Oryctolagus cuniculus: one gene and its partners. The protein of the gene in region 2 interacts with the protein of the main gene of each other region in a biochemical or structural test. Links are inferred from orthologs where the notes say so. Each region holds a gene or a part of one and is shown on either strand. Other genes may lie near its edges.

Evidence for each region. The genes of interacting proteins can lie anywhere in the genome.
Region 1: the proteins of PLCG1 (region 2) and PDGFRB form a complex in vitro, tested with the Homo sapiens proteins (3 studies listed by BioGRID and IntAct, with this or other methods). The link is inferred for Oryctolagus cuniculus from reciprocal best matches to the Homo sapiens genes PLCG1 and PDGFRB.
Region 3: the proteins of PLCG1 (region 2) and FGFR1 form a complex in vitro, tested with the Homo sapiens proteins (4 studies listed by BioGRID and IntAct, with this or other methods). The link is inferred for Oryctolagus cuniculus from reciprocal best matches to the Homo sapiens genes PLCG1 and FGFR1.
Region 4: the proteins of PLCG1 (region 2) and ITK form a complex in vitro, tested with the Homo sapiens proteins (2 studies listed by BioGRID, with this or other methods). The link is inferred for Oryctolagus cuniculus from reciprocal best matches to the Homo sapiens genes PLCG1 and ITK.

Annotation. Positions count from the first base shown.
Region 1 is NC_091437.1:37,438,219-37,443,123, forward strand, and holds part of PDGFRB (platelet-derived growth factor receptor beta), read right to left. Parts: intron 4,572-4,905; coding exon 4,379-4,571; intron 3,917-4,378; coding exon 3,801-3,916; intron 2,773-3,800; coding exon 2,649-2,772; intron 2,192-2,648; coding exon 1,980-2,191; intron 510-1,979; coding exon 415-509; intron 1-414. UniProt on the Homo sapiens protein: Tyrosine-protein kinase that acts as a cell-surface receptor for homodimeric PDGFB and PDGFD and for heterodimers formed by PDGFA and PDGFB, and plays an essential role in the regulation of embryonic development, cell proliferation, survival, differentiation, chemotaxis and migration.
Region 2 is NC_091442.1:17,798,739-17,804,185, forward strand, and holds the start of PLCG1 (1-phosphatidylinositol 4,5-bisphosphate phosphodiesterase gamma-1), read right to left. Parts: upstream 3,552-5,447; 5' UTR 3,536-3,551; intron 2,789-3,535; exon of another isoform or gene 2,663-2,788; intron 2,619-2,662; exon of another isoform or gene 2,604-2,618; intron 2,191-2,603; 5' UTR 2,082-2,190; coding exon 1,865-2,081; intron 1-1,864. UniProt on the Homo sapiens protein: Mediates the production of the second messenger molecules diacylglycerol (DAG) and inositol 1,4,5-trisphosphate (IP3). Plays an important role in the regulation of intracellular signaling cascades.
Region 3 is NC_091433.1:88,159,984-88,164,888, forward strand, and holds part of FGFR1 (fibroblast growth factor receptor 1), read right to left. Parts: intron 4,577-4,905; coding exon 4,453-4,576; intron 3,369-4,452; coding exon 3,178-3,368; intron 2,177-3,177; coding exon 2,026-2,176; intron 1,291-2,025; coding exon of another isoform or gene 1,146-1,290; intron 1-1,145. UniProt on the Homo sapiens protein: Tyrosine-protein kinase that acts as a cell-surface receptor for fibroblast growth factors and plays an essential role in the regulation of embryonic development, cell proliferation, differentiation and migration.
Region 4 is NC_091437.1:44,206,746-44,211,650, reverse strand, and holds part of ITK (tyrosine-protein kinase ITK/TSK), read right to left. Parts: intron 3,870-4,905; coding exon 3,698-3,869; intron 3,248-3,697; coding exon 3,031-3,247; intron 2,275-3,030; coding exon 2,210-2,274; intron 2,126-2,209; coding exon 2,007-2,125; intron 1-2,006. UniProt on the Homo sapiens protein: Tyrosine kinase that plays an essential role in regulation of the adaptive immune response. Regulates the development, function and differentiation of conventional T-cells and nonconventional NKT-cells.

The DNA.
Region 1 (4,905 bases), on a different chromosome or scaffold from region 2:
ATCACAGCACCGGACCGGGACGAGAGGGTCGGGAACTGTACACCGCTGGCATCACAGAGCGGTGACAGGTTGGAACAGACACGAAAGTCAGGAGCAGCACAGTGCTCCTCAGTGGACCCAGGTGTGTCCATGCGGGGAGCCCGAAGAACCCTGAAGCCAGTGCACTGCGGCTGGGATGGGAGGGACGATGCCGGAGCAGGGGGCCTGGGGCGCAGTCGCAGCCGGAAGTCCCGGATAGCCCAGGCTGCTGGGGGTGGAGGCGGCTCAGACGCCCAGCGTCATTCTCTATAAATCCCCACCTGAGCCCCAGGCTGCGCCCCGCATGCGGTCAACTCAAGCAGGGTTCCAGGAGGGCGCGAGGGCGGGGGAGCCCCTGCAGAAGGGGGCTCCTGGCTGGGGGTGGGGAGCACTCACCTTCTGCCAGATCATGATGAGGATGATGAGGGAGATGATCGTGAGCACCACCAAGGCCAGGATGGCCGAGATCACCACCACTTTGAAGGGCAGCGCTGGGGGCAGGGAGCAGAGCAGGCCCTGGGTAAGCAGGGCCCGGGCAGCTGCCTCCTTCACTCCACCGACCGCTGGCCTCACAGGTCACCTGTCCTCACTTCCCACCCCTCTGTGACCCTGCCCAGCGGCCCACCAGGTCAGCCTCTCCGTCCTGGCTCTGGTCACGTCTTTAGCTTCCCCGGCAGACACCCCATACCTCCCAGCAATGACCCCAGCTCTCTGCCGGCCTCACCACCTTCTGCCCGTGCCAGGGCCAAACCCCTTGCCTTCATCCTGTCCACTGCCTGGGCCTGCCATGCGGCCTGGGCCACTCTCACTTCTCTGAAACCATGCCTGAGTGGACCTGAGCTGAGTTCCATGCCTGACTCAGTGGCCAATGGCCTGCGGGGGCAGCCCTGAGGGGCAGGAAGCTGCGCCTCCTGCCCAGTTCCACCCAGGAGCATGGGGTGGGGGTGGGCTGGGAAGGGAGGTCGGGCAATGACAAGTGCTGTGAAGTGCGTCCTCAGGGTTACCTCACTAAGCACACAGGCCCCACACTGGGACCCCCAAGCCAGAGTCTCCTTCACAGCTTTGCTGCACACGTCCTCACCCCACCCCCATCCACCTGGGACAGACTCTCCCCTGCCCTGCCCACTGGGCACCCTGGAAACTCTCCCTCCCACCTGCCCTTCTCTACCCCCCAGAGAGCCCTGTCTTGCCTCCCCAGGGTCTCCTCCCCACACTTCCTGCTCAGGGTCCCTGGCCCATGTCACTTGTACCAGCCACACCTCCATCCTAGGAAGCAAGCCCCCATCTCTCTGGGAGCCCACTCTGAGTAAGGAAGGGGAGCCTTCCTCCAGCCACCCCAGCTGTCCCTGGTTGGTGCATGGCATCCCCTCCGGGCACCACACTACAGCTTCACCTCTGCTTTTGCTCAGAGCTGGTCTATGGGCCGCTGTCTACACTGTCCGACCACACAGCAGCTGGCCCAGGGATATGTGTGCCCACAGGGAGCATGAGGGTGATGCTGGAAGTAGGAAACCCACCCACGCACCACAGGGCAGGGGCCAGGAGGCAGGTCTGTGCACACACAGGCACGTGCATGGACAAGTCCAGGGGCCTGCCCACCCAGGGACTAGGCATGCTCACATCACGCTCACATACACGCCCTCAGCGGCTACCCAGACCACCAGGCATCCAAGTCCAGGCTCCCAGATGCACCTGCCAGCTTCACCCGCGTCTCTGGGGATCAGGCACCTCTCAGAACCCAGTTCACAGATCCCTATGTGCCAGGCATGTGGCACAGGTGCACAGACGGGTTACACGTGCCACACACATATAGTTTCGTTCACATCCAGTTTATAGACCTGTGTTTGCACACATGTGTGTGCCCTGACCAGTTTCACAGTGCTCTGGGCTGCTACGGACGCCTGGGCACAGTCACCAGGAATGCAGGGGCGTGGCGGGGGGAGGGACGCCGGCGGACTCACAATGCGGCACCACGGTGACCTCCTTGGTGTCGTAGTCACGCAGGTTGCGCAGCACACAGCGCACCGACAGCGGCTGATCCACGTGGCGCAGGCGCAGTGTGCTCACCACCTCAAACTCCTGCTCCTCCGCCCAGTACGTCACGTTGGTCTCTAGCTGGCTCTCGTCCTCGGAGCGGTTCCCCAGCGGCGTGGGCGGCAGCTCGGACGGGCACCTGCAGGCAGAGCCGTCAAGTGGTGGGGGAAGCAAGGAGGGCTTGTCCAGTCCCCTGATGCCTCCCTCTGCCCGGGCTTCGGCGCCGTGCTCCCTCGAATGACCAGCAGGGGGCGATCCCATTCCACAACGGAAAACCCCAGGTTGTGAGATCCACTCCACTCATTTGCCTCCAGGGTCTCACAGCTGGGGGCCGTGTCAGGGGTAGAGGCAGAACCTGAATTGAACCCTGCCTCTCTCTATCACGCGAGAACCACCCTGATCAAGTGAGGTCCCCGGGGCACTCAGGGATCAAGGTCAGGAGAAGCCACAATTCGGGTCATGCAGTGTCTGAGGAGGTGGCAGGCTGGCCTTCCAGGATGTGGCTGTAGCCTGGAGCAGCGTTTGCAGAGGAGAGGGCTGGACTAGACACGGGCTGTGGGTGCCCAGGAGACCGAGCCCGGCCGGGGTGGGCTCACCTTTTCAGGTCTCTGCAGGTAAACCAGGTGACATTCGGCTGAGGCATGCCCCGGCCACGACAGCGAACTATCTGCTCCCCACTGGCGAGGTGGCTCTCGCTCAGCTCCAGCACACGGACAGGGACTGTGGGGAGAGGGGACAGGGCCAGGAAGTGTGGGGTCAGCAGGAAGGGACTGGCCAGGGAGGACCTGCTCAGGTCCCCTGGGGGTTGGGGGGGACAGGGAGGCAAACATTAAAAGCAGGTGAACACGGACTACCAGGAAGGACCCCCCTCCAGGGAGCTTCAAAGGGCAAGCCTCAGGAGGGGCTGCTGGCTGCTGTGTCTTTAACGCCTCTCTGAGACTTGCTAATCTTCCCTTTTAACAAGAAGGGAGCTGGGGTGGCCACACTCACAAAGCTGGCGAGTAATCGCATTGTTTTGTTTCCTCTGAGTTTATTTTAGTGGCTGCCTTAGACTCAGGACATGTGACGCTGATTTTCCATCTACAATTGGGAGGTTATATTTTGTCTTTCAAAATAAGCTTATTTTGGGCGAGCCGATTGACGAAATACGGAGTCAGGATCGTGTCATCCGTCAGCTCGGAACCCTGGGAAGGCTCTTCATCTGGGCTGTGGTGAAGCTGGACCGGGCCCTCAGGGACCCGCCCTCTGCCCACCCCCCACTGCCTCCCTGCTCTCTGACCTCCCCTCCCTCTGTTCTGGCCACTCAGGCCTTTCTGCCATGGCTCTGGCCTCTGCCCTGCCTTGCACCCAACATCCGCTTGGCCAATTCCCTCACAGTCTTCAAGTCGTAGAGCAGACGGCACCTCCCCCGTGAGGCCCACCCTGCTCACCACCCTCCTGAGCCTGACTCTGCTTTTTTCCCCTTGTTACCTTCTAACCTACAGAACTAGCCCGCAGCTCCCCCTACTGTACAACGAGTGTGATGCAAGGAGGGAAACTTGTGACCTTGGTGCATGAATGCCTGAGGTTTTAGAAATACCCATCTAGCCAAGGCCACCTTGGACAGGTGGGGAAACCGAGGCCCAGGGAGAGGACACCCCTGGATCAGAGGGCCACAGGCAGGGTCCCAGGACGCAGTCTCCTGGGTTCCAGCTTCCTGCGTGGATGCGGGAAGACGCAGCAGGGAAGGGGGCAGGGGTGGCCCTCACCGTTGACCTGCAGCTGGAAGGAGAGCTGTGCCTCGGCGTCCTCGTGGAAAGCCCGCATGGTGTACCTGCCCGCCTCCGCCACCTTCACCCGCACCAGCGTCAGTTCTGACACGTACCTGGGGAGCAGCGCAGGCCGGGAGAGCCAGCTGTCAGAGCAGGAAGGGCTCCTCCAGCCCCCGCCCCCTGCTCCCCTGTACAAGCAGGAGAAACAAGGCCCTGGGAGTCGCACAGGTGTCCCAGGCGAGGCCCGGGAGGGACTGGGAGTGGGCAGGGAGGCCCTATTCCACCCCCTTCCTGAGGGTCTGGCATGCTTTATCCCCACTGGTATCCGCCAGTATCTAGCTCGGGCTTCCTAGGTAGCAGGGCCAAGCTTCCTAGGTAGCGGCTCGGGCCCGTTCCTGTGGCTACCACCTGCAGCTCTGCTCATCACAAGTGTCTGAGTGACCATCTGGCTGGCACCATGTCCCCCCGCTGGACCAGATGCTCAAGGAAGGATGGACCCTGCTCTGGTTGCGCCGCAGCCTCAGCGCCCCCCAGGGTGCCGGAGGTGGGCCTGGGTGCGCCAAGTGGCTGCTCACCGGGTCTCAGACACATTGCGTGTGGACAGGGCGATCTCGCCGGCGCTGGAGTCACCCAGGGTGCGGTTGTCCTTGAACCACAGGACGGTGGGCGGAGGGTAGGCCTCGAACACCACCTGCAGCGTACGGCTCCGGTGCAGGTCGGCGAACTGCAGCGCGCCCAGCTCTCCCAGCAGCCGCACGTAGCCGCTCTCTGCAAGGGGCGGGCCGTCAGGGCGGGGCCATGCCCGGCCACCAATGGGGCAGTGCCTACCGGGGGCGGGGTATCAAGTGGGCGCCCAAGGAGCCCCGCCTTCTGGGGGCGGGGTATCAAGTGGGTGCCCAAGGAGCCCCGCCTTCTGGGGGCGGAGCTTCAGACTTTAGAGCCAAAGGAGCCAGGTGCAAGTTGGGGTTGGGCCAACAGCAAGTGCTGAATTTACGGCTGTTGGTGTGGGGCCCAGCTTTGAGGCTGGGCTTGGAGTTGGAGTTCTGTGTCTGGGCTTAGCTGAATTTAGGAAGGGGGCTGGCTGGGCCTAGGATGGTGGGCA
Region 2 (5,447 bases):
ATGAACTTGACCCCCATCCTCCTTCCTTCCTGTACCCTCACCCCCTCCTACAGCCACACTCCAAGCCCCTCAACCTTCCCTAGGAGGGCAGCCACAGTCTTATTATTAACAGGTCAGTTTATTAAACATCTACAATGTATCAACACATTTGCAATGTGTAGGTATTGATGTTTTACATCAATCATCTAATTTAGTCCCCAGTGCAACCAGTTATGATTGCTGTATTATTACCTCCATTTTACAGATGGGCAAAACAAGGTTCAGAAAAGGTTATATAACTAGGCGAGGAGTATACAACCAACACACAGGCTTCAAATCCAGACCTGCCTTCAAACACTGTGCTACAATTATTGCCTGCTGGTCCCCAACATGGTTTAAAAAATACCAAGCAATCTCTATCTGGGAAGCTCCTGCCACCAACTCAGCACAGGGAGTATCACAAAGCAAGGGTGGACCTGGAGTATGATGTTCCCAGAACTGTCCCAGCTCTTTGCAACCTGTTCTTGCTCCACTTCAGAATCCAGTCTCTCAAATCACTAAAATGTTCTTCCAGTGGCTGACAGGGCACTGAGGAAGGCAGCTGCCATTTCTTGGTTCAGCAGCTCTATCAGATCTGAAGTTTGTAGTTGAGGACGGCTGCTACCACAACACCTTCCTTCCTCCCAATCTCCTCACTCATCTACACGCATGCACACCAGACCCAAGAACCTCGGTGGGAGCCTCTCCAGGGCTGTCGCTTCCTGACCCCTTTCTCCACATGCCCCTGGTTCTAGTACCCATCTCTGGGGGGTCCTTGGAGGAAACAACCCACAGCCTGGGGTTACAGAAACATCATCTGTTCACACAGGAAGGCGAGAGAGAAAGGAGGGCAGAGCTGAGTGCCCATCCGGCCACAGCTCAGGCATGCAGTGAGTGCAGTAACACACTGAAAGATCTGGGGTTTTTTCAAAATCCCCTAACCCCCTCCTCCCACTAGAGACCTGCGCAAAAGCAGCCAAGCTCAGGCCTGGCAAGGCACAGAGGCAGGAAACCAAGGGGGGAGCCACTGTCGGCTCCCTGTGGCCACCGGACACAGGACACAAAGGGCTAGACCCCAAACAGGCTACCCGCTCTGAGACAGGAGTACCTGACGCCAAGGCACTTGGACTGGCCTGTCTGGGGCCAAGCTTCAGGTGGGTGCTTCCAAGTGCAAGGGCACAGCCCCTTTACCCAAGAGCCTGCCCCGGCTTTGGGCACCGGCATAGGCCTCCAAAAACTCAGCTTTGGGACAAAAGCAGCAGCAAGTAAAAGCGGCCTTTCTCAGGCTTCGCCAAGACAGAAAGGACCACCTTCTTCTCCCTCCCCAAGCAGATGAGCAGGCCTAGCCCTGTTTCAAAACCAGCCCTACCTCAACATCTGCCTAATTTTTACCCAGGGAACCCAAAGGTTCCCTTGCAATGAAGAGCCCAGCCTTGGGACCCAGGGAATCTCGCACCGCTCTTTCTGCAGAGGGGGAGGGCAGTGACCCTCGGGCCCCGATCGCGGGCAGGGTGGGCGCAGCTTGGCTCCCCTCGCCCGCCACCGCCGCTCCTTCCCGGGACTGGAGGGGCTCGACGCCTGCCCCGCTGGACTCCAGTCCGCCAGGATTTTTTAGGCCTCAGGGAAAGACGTCTGGAGGAGTCCCCCCAGCCGGGGGAGGGGGCGTCCTATCAGGTGACCGAGGATTTGGATGATCCCCGCCCCCCAGTGAGCACCGGAGCCGAGGCGGGGGCGGGTCCAGTGGGGGTGGGGAGAGCCCAAAGTTTGCCCAAGTCGCCAGGGAGGGCCGCGGCCGCGCGCGCCTCGCCAGCCCCGCGCGCGCAGCGGGCCCGGGGGCGGCACTTACTGGCCCCCTCGATCTTGTCGGCGCCGCGGCTCCACGTGATCTGGCGCGTCTCCAGTTTGACCTGGAAGGTCTTCCGCTCGGGCCGCTGCGACTTCTTGGAGTAGAACAAAGTCATGACGGTGCCCACCTCGAGGCTGCGGCAGAGGTGCAGCACCTCGGCTTCCGAGGGCGCGCCGGGAGCGCAGCCATTGGCGCAAGGGGACGCGGCGCCCGCCATGGCTCCGACGCTGGGGGCGGCGGCGGCGGCACAAGCCGGAGGAGCCGGGAGCAGGAGGAGGAGGAGGCGGCAGCTGAGGCGGCCGGCGACCGGGACCCGGCGGCGGCTCCTGCGGGCGGACACGGGGCGGAGCCTAAACACCGAAGGCGGGGCGGCCCGAGGATCCGCCCCGCCCGCGCGCCAGGAACAAAGGCGCCCGCGCGCCCGTGGGGAGGACCCCCGCCCCCGGCCCACCGCGCCTGCGCCCCGCGACCCCCGGCCAGGCCGCAAGCGGGGGCGCGGGGCGCCATGGTACGCCCCGCTCTCAAGCAATCCGTCCGTCGCTCGGCCCCGCAGAGCTTCCTCACGCGACCCCGGCAGGGCGCGGGGCCTCCACCGGCCCCGTCACGCACGGCAGCCCCGCCCACAGGCTGCAGGCCCGCGACCGACCGGCCCGTCAGTCAGGCGCTCGTGCACGCGAAGCCACCCGCCCACTGTCCCGCACAGGCCCGACCGCAGCCTCCGCGCCGCCCGCACAGCCACCTGGAGAAGATGTGAGGGTGCGACGCGCCCCTCGGGTCCGCCTGGCCAAACCCAATTACCTGGGCGAATTGCCCGGCGGAGGGAACCGGGCCAGGCCGGGCCGCCTCACACCCGCGGCGGCGGCGGCGGCGGCGGCGGCGGCGGAGGCGGGTTCTCCGCGCGCCCTCTTCGGGGAGGAGTGGGGGCGGGGCATCCCGAGGATTGGTCAGCGGGCTCTGATGGACAGCGTTCTGTCCCGCCCCCTCCCCCTGCCCGCGCAGAGCTGGCCCACAGGCCGCCCTTGCGAAGGCGAACCCCACGTCCGTCCTGCCCTTGCGTAGGTGCCCTTCCTCGGAGAAGCGCTTCGGGCGTGAGCATCCCCCGCAGGGCTCGTTAAACCCGCGCCCGCGCTGTCTGGAGACCTGACCTGTAGCCCCCAGCGGCCCTGTCTCTCTCCCTCTCTTGGCGTTGCCCGTTGCTCCTCGCCCTCGTTCCCCACGAGGCAGGACGCAGGTCGGATCCGTGAGGCGGGCTCAGGCCCTGCCTCACACCCCTCCTGCAGGTGCGCTCCTGAACTTTGGTTTTCCTGACCTCGCTCTGGACTCTGTCCTGGGCCAGTACCCATAGCGACCTGACTTCACGCAGTGCGCCGGTACCAGTGCCTCCACCTCCACGTCCCACTGTCCGCACCACGTTGCTACCTAATGCGGCTGCCTCACCCACACTCCCACACGGCTCCCCAGCCTTCGCTTTCTCAGAACATGGCACCAAACTCCTCTCGATTGCATAAGCCAAAAACCTGGCCAGTAACCTCGATTCCTCTGTCTGCCCCAGGTCAGATCCACCGAGGCCTGTTCACTTTGCCTGCAAGCCCACCAGGCCGTGGCCTCTCTCACCTGCGTCTGTTCTCCATGTTTAAATCTTTTAAAAGAAATAAAACCATGATCACCTACCTCTGGTCTACTATTCTCCCGCCCTGAGTGGCACACAGCAGGTTCTGATGGGCCTGGCCCCTTCCTATCTCCTGGCTTCTTCACTCTCTCTCCTCCCGTCAGCAGGCTTCTGTCTGGAATCATTCACCCTCTTCGTCTTCCTGAATGCTGTGAAAACTGAGGACATCTGCGGTCATGGGGAGGCATGCCTGACACGTGTTGCGCCAGGTGCTGCATTTCAGAGAGGCGCGGCCCAGCAGAGCTTTCCGGAGAAAGATCCAGGTGAGTTGGGATTTGTGAGGACAGGAGAGCATGTGTTCAGGCAACCGCACCCAGTACTAGGTGTGTGGAGCTGCCTCTGACTATCTCGCGGTGGTAGTAACTTGCGTGTGTGTGCATGCTCCTGCACTTTTGGTTCCTTCAAGTGTGGCCCCTAAGGCTCACAGCACTAGGCTCCTGTCAACTAAGGGCCAGCGGGGGAGCTGAGATGGACTGCCACCTAGTGACAAGCCTTTGAAGTGGGAGGCAGGCTGATCCTGATCACACGTGGTCCTCATAATCACCCTCTAATCAGGGACACTGGTCCCCAGTTTACTGATGAGGACGTTCAGAGAAGTTCTACATGACTTACCGAGCGGCCACGTCACTCACAACTGGGGACTTGAACCTATCCACCTCTGTTTTCTGCCTCACAAGAGGGCCTCTGGCTTAGGTAAGTCCTGGTGGTGAGCAGTCAGTGGGCATGAGGCTAGATGGCTACTGGCACAGGGAACCTGGCAGAACATTAGTGGTCAGAGCGTGGCTTGTACTCAAAGTGCCGCTGTCGCTGAGCTGCGAAGCGTGAGGAGAACAGGAGATCCAGCCCAGCCCCTCGGGGGATTAACAGACCTTAAACAAATAAGCACTCTGTTCTGTAAAGACACTTGTGATGAGGGCTCCAGAGGAAAAGAACAGATGAAAGAAAACACAGTGAGGTTGCCAGTGCGGCAGCTCACTAGGCTAATCCTCCGCCTGCGGCGCTGGCACACCGGGTTCTAGTCCCGGTCGGGGCGCCAGATTCTGTCCCGGTTGCTCCTCTTCCAGTCCAGCTCTCTGCTGTGTCCCGGGAAGGCAGTGGAGGGTGGCCCAGGTGCTTGGGCTCTGCACCCGCATGGGAGACCAGGAGGAAGCACCTGGCTCCTGAATCGGCGCAGCATGCCAGCCATAGCAGCCATTTGGGGGGGTGAACCAACAGAAGGAAGACCTTTCTCTCTGTCTCTCTCTCTCTTACTAACTCTGCCTGTTTAAAAAAAAAGAAGAAGAAGAAAAGAAAACACAGTGAGGAGGCCTCCCTGTGGCTCCGCAGAGGTCAGATGGGAAGGAGTAGGTGGCTGGGTGAGCTGTTAAAAGTTGATTGGAGGAAGGTACTTTCCAGGCAGGAGGCCAGAAAGAGGTGGTTAAGTTTAGTGAAGGCTGGAGTTTCTTCAGTGAAGGAGAGTGTGTGGGGGAGGGGTGAGCAGTGAGTAGAGCCCCTCCCTGCCTGTCTGGTCTTGTCCATTTTCCTATGAGGCACCTAAGTGCTGCAGTTCTTTCCAAGCTTCCTGTGCCAACTGCAGCGACCTACAGGCTGTGATGCGCCTTTGAAATAGGTTCCTCTCTTCTGGGAGCTTCCCAACATGTAGCCCCAGGCTTCCGTGCCTTCACTCTTGCCTCTGTGGCAGGACCCCAGGGGCTGCCAACAGGAGCCTGAGTTTTCAGTCTGCTGCCAGACTTTAGTCACTGAACAGGGTCCCATTTTCCTCTTGGGACTTCTGGGCCAGCATCCCAGGGCTCAGGTGCCTCTTGCCATCAGAGGAGGTTCAGGAAAAGCAGGGCACACAAAGGGTGTGGCTGGGGTGTGGGCTTCCCCCAGCTCAGCATCTCTCTGGGTGTGTGGGTGTTGCTGGCAGTGCCT
Region 3 (4,905 bases), on a different chromosome or scaffold from region 2:
CTGTACCCGGGAGAGAACTCTCATCCCAGCCCCACCCTCGCGAGGGGCCCCTCTTCCCGTCACCGCTGTCTCCCCTCCTGATCCGCCCCTCAGAAACCCTGCAGCCAGCCACAGAGGTGGCGGGAGTTATCCCCACCCCAACCCAGAGAGAGGCACAGGACGAGGCCCAGGCCCAGGCCCTTGAGGACCTCAAGGCCTGACCGGCAGACGACAGAGCTGATGACAGAAGTGTTTCTGTTTTACTCCTTTCCCCAACGTCGAGAAACAAAAGACAAATGATGGGGTGCACAGACAGACGGGACGAAGACAGGACGACGATGAAAACAGAGAACACTTCTGTGCCTCAAGTGGAGGGGGGTGAGGACAGAAGGGGGCGGAGTCAGACAGGAGAGCAGATGGCACCCAGACCCACATGCGGGACACGCGGAGATGCAGCACACCCAGCTCCGGTCACCACCACCCTGCACAGCTGCAGGCTTCTTCCTTCCTGGCTCGACACAGACCTCCCGCCGGGGACAGCAGCCAGAGAGGATGCAGGGGGACTGCCATGGCCCCACTGAGGCTGCCTGAGGCAGGCCTGACTTAGAGCAGGTCGTGTTCACTTGTCTAGAAAGGTGGCTTCTCCCCAGCCAGAGGACCTGGCATGCAGGCTGGACAAGTGCCGCTCCCTACAAGCATTGAGCACCTCTGGGCTGAGGGCCTACATGCAGTGTGAAGAGCAGGGCTCTTTCTCAAACTTTTGGGATTGGTGCAAAAAAATAAAAAAATAAAATAAATAAATAAATCAGGTATCTCAGACACCCAGGGACCTAGGGGAGGCTGCAGGACCCAAGGACAGGAGAAGCCTGCCCTGCAGGAGAGCCCGGCTGCCGAAATGAATCCAGATCCCCAGCATGCATTGCATTGGCCACGGAGGGGACAGAGCCAGACGCAGGTGCACCAGTGGGAGGCTGCTGTTGTTCCCGCAAGACCAGGAAAGCTCCATAGCGAGCCTTCAATGCCACAGCCAACAGGGCGTGCGGCAGGCAAGAGCCCACTGCTCTCTCTCTCCCGGGGCTCTGTGTCTCCCCCGCCGGCCCCACAATGCATGCTCCCCCGTGCCCATGGCGAGGGCAGGACAGCGAGAGGAGCAGTGCAGTGTATACCTTCCAGAACGGTCAGCCATGCAGAGTGATGGGAGAGTCCGATAGAGTTACCCGCCAAGCACGTATACTCGCCCGCGTCCTCGAAGGAGACGTTCCGCAAGTGAAGCACCTCCATCTCTTTGTCAGTGGTGTTAACTCCGGCAGTCTAGGAAGAGACAACGGAAGCGGAATGGACAAGCGCGGGACGCGAGACCTCGAGGAGGCACCGAGACAGGGAAGGGTGGGGGAGTGCGCAGAGGGGAGGCCACCAGAGCGGGAGATGCTCCCCAGCGTCTCCTTTGCAACAAGGAACACATAGAAACCACCAGCAGCGGGACCTGTTAGAGAGGAAGAGAGTGCGGCCCTGGGGAGGAAGTCCAGCAGGTCACGGCTGGTTACGACCCGTCACCAGGCGCCGGCAGCCACTGGCCCATCCCAGCATGCGGGCAGCGGGCGGCATGGAGAAATGGGGCCCGGCCAGTAGGTGGCTGTTTGGTTTCAGGTCGAGATAAGTGGAGAGGGGGGCACACAGGAGGGATGGAAGGGTGCACGCACACACACACACACACATACGCAGCCTGCAGACCTGGGCCTCTGCAAGGGAACACCTGGCCCCTTTTCTGATCTGCAGCATCATTCATAGCACAGCGTGGCTGTGTCCCCAGGAGTCCACGCACAGCCACACACCCAGCCAGGGGACACACATAAGGCACAGAGGGAACCAGCAGATACCAACACAGAACTAAACCAAACCAGCCTCCCAGGCCGAGTATTTTTCCATGGCTCTGGGCACTAGGATACAGAAGATAAGAGGGAGAGTCCGGCGCTGGCTTCCCACTGCTCCAGGGCGTGGGGCCGACATGAAATTCCCAGCACAGGGTCCCATCCGTCTCCCCATTACCTTTTGCCACAGGTCTGGTGACAGTGAGCCACGCAGACTGGTTAGCTTCACCAATATAATTGGAAACCTTACACACATACTGCCCGCTCTGGGCCTCTGTCACATTGAACAAGGTCAGCACCTCTGCATCCGAGCTATTAATCCCCGAATGCTGGAACAAACCAACGACACACCAGTCAGTCGCGCAAGCGTGGCCACCTGGCCGTCCTCTGCTCCCATGTACCTTCCAGGCAAGGGACGCGGTCCAAGGGACTTTGCATCTCTCCTTGTTTTAGTGGAACAGAACAAGCTGACATCAAAAGCCCCAAGCATTTCATAAAGGAAAAGAAAACAAAACAAAAACACCCACTGTCCCAAATCTCATGTCCTGTCTGTGTGAAATCCATCCTCCAGGACTGGGGCAGGGACTGTAAATGGACACGGGGCCAAGCCCAAGGCCCCTGCCCCATTTCCTTCAGAACAATTTCTGCACCAGTAGCCAAGAGAAGGGACAGCTAGTAAATCTTCGGGACGGGCAGCCTGGGGAGGATGAGGTCTAACTGTGGGACAAGGTGGTAAACAGCTTTCCCAGCTTCTGGCCACTTCCTGTCGCAAGATCCACGGGAGATTTAGGCAATTACCTTCCCTGGATTAATGGAGCATTCAGGGACAATCAAAGTCTGGGAGTGAAAGGGAAAAGGAAGAAAATGCCATTACTCCTCACACTGCGTAGAATTTATATGCGGCACCTGCTTTCCCAAGCCTGCTTAGGCTGTGTGCCCTCATCCTCCATCGCATCTTCCAAGCAAGAGCAGAGCTCGGGGAGTAGGGCAGCGCCCATGAGGGGCTGGCTGCCAAGGCTTTGGTCCCGGGCAGTGAGAAAGCAGGGGACCTCACGCTCACCTGGAGGGCTCCCCTTTCTTTCTTTGGGGTGGGGGTGGGGTCTCGCCCTTTCAAAGCCTTCATCCCCCTCCAAGCAAAGTCACTGGCAAAGCTTTCACAACCAGCACCGCCCCCCTATTCCCAGCTCACCTCTACTCTGTCATCTCTCCCCACTCCTGGGAAAGGGGCTGGGTCCCGATCCCAGGCCCTGAGCCTGACCACAGAACCTGAGCCGCCAGGAGCTGGCGGGCTCTGTCCTGGCACCCCATCCCGAGCAGACAGGGTGATTACCTTCAAGATCTGGACGTAGGGCAGATTGTCTGGGCCGATCTTACTCCCGTTGACCTCGATGTGCTTTAGCCACTGGATGTGAGGCTGAGGGTCACTGTACACCTTACACATGAACTCCACATTGCTGCCCAGGGCCACCGTCTTGTTGGCAGGCAGCCCTGCCTGCAGGATGGGCCGGTGAGGCGACCGCTCTGTGGAAGAAAGGACACGTGTGGGCCTGCAGTGCCCCCTCGGCTTTCCCGGGGATGGGGCAGTGCATGTCCTGCATCTCCGCGGGGTCCCAGTGCCTCCACCCTGAGTCCTCTCTCGAGGCTCCATGGGAACTCCTCCTCGAGGCCACGCTCCATACTTATGCACAGTAATAAGTCTCCTGTAGCTTAAAGGACTTAACACCCTGAGATCCCAGCACAACGTGCTTCCCAGAGAGCTGCCGAGACCACTGCTGTTCAAAGTGTGGCCCAGGGACAGCAGCACCAGTGCCAACTGGGAGAGAGAGAGTCAGAAAGGCAGGATCTCAGAGCCTGGACCCCATCCCCCTGCTGAGACCACGTGGCCAGCACCAAGATGGGAGGCTGGCGGAGAGTCCCTGGGCCTCTCCATCTCCAGCGTGCTGGACTCTACCTCCAGAACGGGGATGGGAAGCCTCTGTTTCTGCCAAGGGCCACTTGGATATTTATAACGTCGTTCGTGGACCATATAAAATGATCCAACTTAACAATCAGCCTGCTATACATGTACTGAATTTCAAAGTCCCGTCTGGGATTGCCCTGGCAGGGCCAGACAAGGTGATTTTGTGGGCCTCGTACAGCCTGCGGGCTGGACGTTCCCACCCCTGCTCTAGGACCGGCTGCAGGAGCAGCCCTGAGAAGCATGGTGCTCATCCAGCAGCCGGCAGGGGCCTGGAATTCCACAGGCACCTGACCTCTGAGCCTCAGCAGGTACAGTGGGCGCGTGCCTGCCTGGTGGGGATGACAGCAGATTTGCAAGAGCCTTCATCAAGCCACAGCTACCACTGCACTCCCTGTAACAGCCCAACAACCAGTCACGTCTTTCAGGGTAGACTGTCAACAGTGCTTTCCAGTTCATGGCGACATTGGCTTTGGGACACATTCTCACCTAATGCTCTTTGGTTTGCAGATAGGGAAAAGTAAAGTGCAAACGGAGGAGCTGACCCGCTCAAGGTGACAAGGCAAGTGCAATCCTGACGCCATCCCGGGAGTCCCTGATGCCCGCTCCATACCCTAAGCACCTTAGGTCTGCGCCACCACCTCTTACCCACGACGTCCAGTTGGTAGGTGTGGTTGATGCTGCCGTACTCGTTCTCCACAATGCAAGTGTAGTTGCCCTTATCGGAGGGAACCACGGAGTCCATGATGATGCTCCAGGTGGCATAGCGGACCTGTGGGGAACAGGCAAAGGGCTCCACTGAGGGTCTGGAGGAAAATGCAGGCAGAGGCCATGGGGCCGTGTTGGTGCCTGTGGGACTGCCTCTCTCAGCTCCCCCATCAGAACTGCAGAGTAGCTGGGAGGAGGAACAGAGTACGTGGTGCTCAGCCCAGGTCCACTCAAACGAGCACGTCCATTAAACTGGCAGATGAGCGTGAGCCTTAGAAGTCTTCCCCGTGGTGCTCAAGGCCAGCCATGGTCTAACCAAGCTGTCTTCTGCAAACTCTCCCAAATTATACCAGGAATATTCTCAACCCTGTGCCTCTGTGCCTGGCTCCTGTT
Region 4 (4,905 bases), on a different chromosome or scaffold from region 2:
TGAAGGAACAGATCAGAAGGACTCCAAATGAAACCACTTGGCTCCTAGAAATGGACATTCTAAATCCGGAAGAAGATTTTCAATCCTGAAGAAGATTTTTAATATTCCCAAAATACTTAATTAGCCAGCTCCCCTCTGGCTTCTACCACTAGTGAATCCTCCCCAAAGCCTTCCTTCACACAGAATGGCAAAACCCATGCTTAGGAAGTTCCCGTCTAGTGTATTACCCCTCTTGACATCCAAATCAGAGACTGTCCGGTTGTTCAACCAGGCAGTGTGCACACACTACAACGCAGCACGACGTGAAGAATCCAGCATCAGCACTCAGCATTTCCTGCCACACCGGCACCATTCACTCACGCATGCTGTCTGCACTTTTTAGAAACTGTAATTCCTTCCCACGGCCTTCCCACTCTGTTTCCCCACTTCAACCTAGGGCAGTGCTCTGTGTGCTATGGACGTGACTGAGCTCTCGTCCTTGCTTTCCTTGCCTCTTGGAGCACTGACCGCTTCCTCTCATGATTCAAGTCTCTGCTCCAGAGGCCCCTCCTCGGAAAGGCTTCTCAGATCACACTCACTAAAGCAGGCCCTTCCTCCATCCCGGTCCCTCTCATTCTGCTGCCGTTTTATTATAGTCATAGGACCAATATTTCCCTACCTGACTTTCCCTTATATCTGCTAGCTTAGAGTGATTAGCTTATTCTGAAATCAGCTTTCCTCTAAAACTTTTAAAGCTTATTTAATTATTTGACTGAGAGGGAGAGAGGGAAATGGGGGGAGGGGGTAGGGGAAGGAAGAGGGGAGTGGGAGGGGAGGGGAGGAAGAAGAGGAGGGAGAGGGAGAGGGAGAAAGAATGAATCTTCCTTCTGCTGGCTATTCCCACAACAGGTGGGACTGGGCCTGACAGAAGCCAGGTGCCAGGAACTCCATTTGTGTTTCCTACATGCGTAGCAGGGATCTGAATACCTGAACCATAATCTGCCGCCTCCCAGGGTACATGGTAGGACTCTGATAAGGAATACAGGTTTCTTGAGCAATAGTTTAACCTGCCTGTACCACAACACTGGCTGCCCACCCCTCTCCTCGCCTAACATTTAGTTTCAGAAGCATTGGAGTCTTTTCTGTCCTAGGCACCACTGCATCCTCAGTGCTTAGACTGGCCTCTGGCACAAAGTAGTTGCTCAATGAACTGCTATTAAGCGAGTAAAATGCCTATTGAGGGCTAAATGTGGAATACAAAACTCGCCAATGCATGGTCCCTGCCCTTCAGGTGCTCATATTCAAACTCATGACTCCCCGGATTCTGATCTCACAGTAGCTGCCACAAGACTCCTATTCCCATTTTCATCTTTGTCTCCACCCCCCGCCCCCATTTCAAATCCAGTAACAAGGGCTCCTTCAGACTTTTCTGGGTTGTTCTTACACAGACTCTGAGTGGAATATCTTCAGAACATAGGGTTTAGACAAATAGAGTTGTCTGCCATTGACAAAGAAAATATCTGGGGGCCTGGCATTGTGGCGTAGCAGGTAAAGCTGCCATCTGCAATGCAGGCATCCCATTTGAGCACTGGTTCAAGTCCCTGCTGCTCCATTTCCAATCCAGTTCCCTGCTAATGCACCTAGGATAGCAGTGGAAGATGGCCCAAGTGCTTGGACCCCTGCCAACCACACAGGAGACCTGGATGGAGTTTCTGGCTCCTGGCTTTGGCCTGGCCTAGCCCTGACCATTGCAGCCATTTGGGGGAGTGAACCAGTATTTGTAAGATATCTTTCTCTCTGTCAATCTCTCCTTCTCTCTTTGTGACTCTGCCTTTCAAATAAACAAATAAATCTTGAAAAAGAAGGAAGGAAGGAAGGAAGGAAGGAAGGAAGGAAGGAAGGAAGGAAGGAAGGAAAGGAGGGAGGGAGGGAGGGAGGGAGGGAGGGAGGGAGGGAAGGAAAGAAGGAAGAAAGCATTTGGCCAAGAGTCCCAGGCCACATCAGGGTGGCGCCAGGGTGACACTCACCAAAGGACCACACGTCTGACTTGCTGCTGTAGCGACTGAAGGAGAAGACTTCTGGAGAGGCCCACTTCACTGGGAACTTGGTGCCTGTGGAACTCGTGTACTGATCATCAAGGACGAACCTGGGAAGGGAGGGAGGGGGAGGTCTCAGTGCTTGCTACCGGCCTCCCACTCCTGCCACTCAACAGGCATCACTCCCACGTTACCTCGTCATCCCGAAGTCCGACACCTTGATGACCTGGTTTTCTCCCACCAAACAGTTTCGGGCAGCCTAGAGAGGGACAGGCAGACAAAAGGGGAGGAAAACCATTGGTGTGTAATTAGCAGTTAAGAAGTCTTCTGCAATCACCGTGCTGTGTTTTTCCTAATGCTATTATACAAGGGCTTTGGGGAGCTTCACAAATGTTAATGGGTTTCCCACATGCCTCCTGCAAGTTAGTGAGAAAGTCCAATGTAAGATCTTTTGTCAGCATAGGTAAATTTATCTCCACAGCTAGTTCCTAATTAGAAGACAGATCCATGGTGTTGTCTAACCAAGAGTTTGTTCATGGTGCAATGTAATATTGTACTGGAAGAACTCTTAGAGCTGCAAATTTTAAAGTGCCTACAAATCACAAGGGGATGCAGGTTAAAACCCCCAGAGAGTCTCCAGATGGTTTCAGGATGAGATTCTGGCAGACTGTTGGATAACACTGTAAGAAAAGCTGTGTTGTCCGTGGCCCACATCTTACCAGGAGGAAACTGAAGCACACAGAAGCTAAGACAGAGGGTCTGTGTGTTCCAGTTTGGAAGAATGAAACACAAATAGGGCAAGCTAGCAGTGGGGCCAGGATTGGAGGCCAGTTTTAGTTCTTTTCCACTGGGCCCTCCCAAAGTAGGTAGAGGTAGAGAGAAGTTGAAAGAGGAAGGGAGATGGCCCTTGATCAGTCTGCTCATTAATACATCCCTGGTCTGACTTTCTCTCTGTTGCAGCGGCCCGTGCCCTTCATCCTGCACCTGCAGCTGCTCCCCCACAGCACACCCATACCAGGTCTCTGTGGATGACGCACGCCTCTTCCAGGTAGGCCATGCCCTCGCACACGTCCAGGCACATGCCCAGCAGGGTCTCCGTGGCAAAGAGCCCCCGCTGAGTGCGCAGGTAATCTGATAGGCAGCCGTGCTCCATGAACTCGAACACCAGACAGATGGGTGCCTGCTCCAGGCACACTCCGTAGAGCTGGACAAGTTTGGGGTGAGAGAGTTTCCTGGAAGAAAAAAAGAAAGAGGTGAAATGGCCCCAATTCAGTATCCCAAAAGTGCTGAACATTTTATGGCACCAAAATAGTTGATGATCCCTTCATCCAACTCATGGTTTTGAAAACTAAATCCATACCCTCCCCTGAACAAAACCATGTCACTAGAGCTGAGACCTGAGGGGGGCAAAGGGTCTGCTGGTGGATGTGAGGACTGATGGAGGCCAGTGCGGCTGGCACGTCACGGACCGGAGGAAAGCTGGATAGGTGATGAGACTGGGAGGTGAGCAAGGGTTTTGTGGACCACGGTGGGGAGTTTCATTTTACTTTCTATGCCATAGGGAGCCACTGCTGGGATTTGGGCAGGAAAGTGGCACAGCATGGCATCAGAATGGTATTTAAACAATCCAGCACAGAGCATCCTTCCCAGGGTGTCTGCATGTCCTTGTTTTGGGGACTCACATCATGACTTCAGCCTCCTCTATGAAGTCCTCTTCTGACATAGCTCCCTCCTGAATGGTTTTAATGGCTACCTTGTCCTTGTTGAGCCAGTAACCAAGATGCACCAATCCAAACTGCCCGCTGCCAATCTCCTGCACAAAAGTGAGCTCTGAGGGGTCGATCACCCACTTTCCTGGAACACAGAAAGAGAGTTTTTTCAGAGAAGGCAACTGATGAGGTATAGGGCTACCAGGGGATTATCTAGCCCTACCTAGAAGTCATGCCTGTTTTGAGTACCTGTATAACTCAAAGATGGTAAGAGTGTAAGTCCTAGACTTAGAGCTGTTACAGATAAAATTATTACCCCTTCCCAAACAGGATATGCACTTAAAATAATGAAAACCATGTGTAGGCAGATTACATGAAAGGAAGATGAGAAGGGCAGTGATCAAAATAGGAAAGAAAGGAGGATTGTTTCAAGGCTCCAACTTCTTCTACGCTTGATTATAATCTTGCATTGTCAAGTTTCCTACAGAGTAAATTTCACAGGACTCGATGATCGACTCATTCATGTGTGCATCATGAGCATCCACTATGTACGTAGCACTCTGCAAGGCCTTGGTGGAGGGGGAATGAAAGATGTGGGTGGATTCAAAGAGGGCTCATGCAGAAACACGAGCTAGCACAGACTCTCAGTGAGTGCTCAATAAACAAATAAAAGCAATCTGGGCCTCAGTTTTCTTATCAACAAAATGAATTGGTTGGCCAGGTAATTTCTGAGATTTCATCCAACAGGGACTCATTAGGATTCTACGGTTATTAGAAGAACCTTATTTTTAGAAGAAGGATGAAGATGAAATACCCTTTCTTGATGCTTGTTCTCAAAGAAGTAGACTCAACAGCAAACATAAATGAGTACCTGCTATGGGCCAGATACTTCTGGATGAAGAGCCAAAGGCAGTGTGTCTCAAAGTATTGCCCCCGAGCACCTATGCTAAAGTCACCTAAGGCATTTATTTAGAATACACACTCTAGGACCCCACCATCAGGTGATGTGTTTTGATAAGTGTTGGGGGAGGGAGGGTGCAAGGACCAATGTGTTTCCTAAGCATTCTGGAGGATTTCAAAGCACAGTGAAATCTGAGAGTCACTAACCTAGTAGGCACAAAATGAAACTTATACCACCTTTTCCTCAAGCAATATATAACTTGGGCCAAAGAATGCAAACT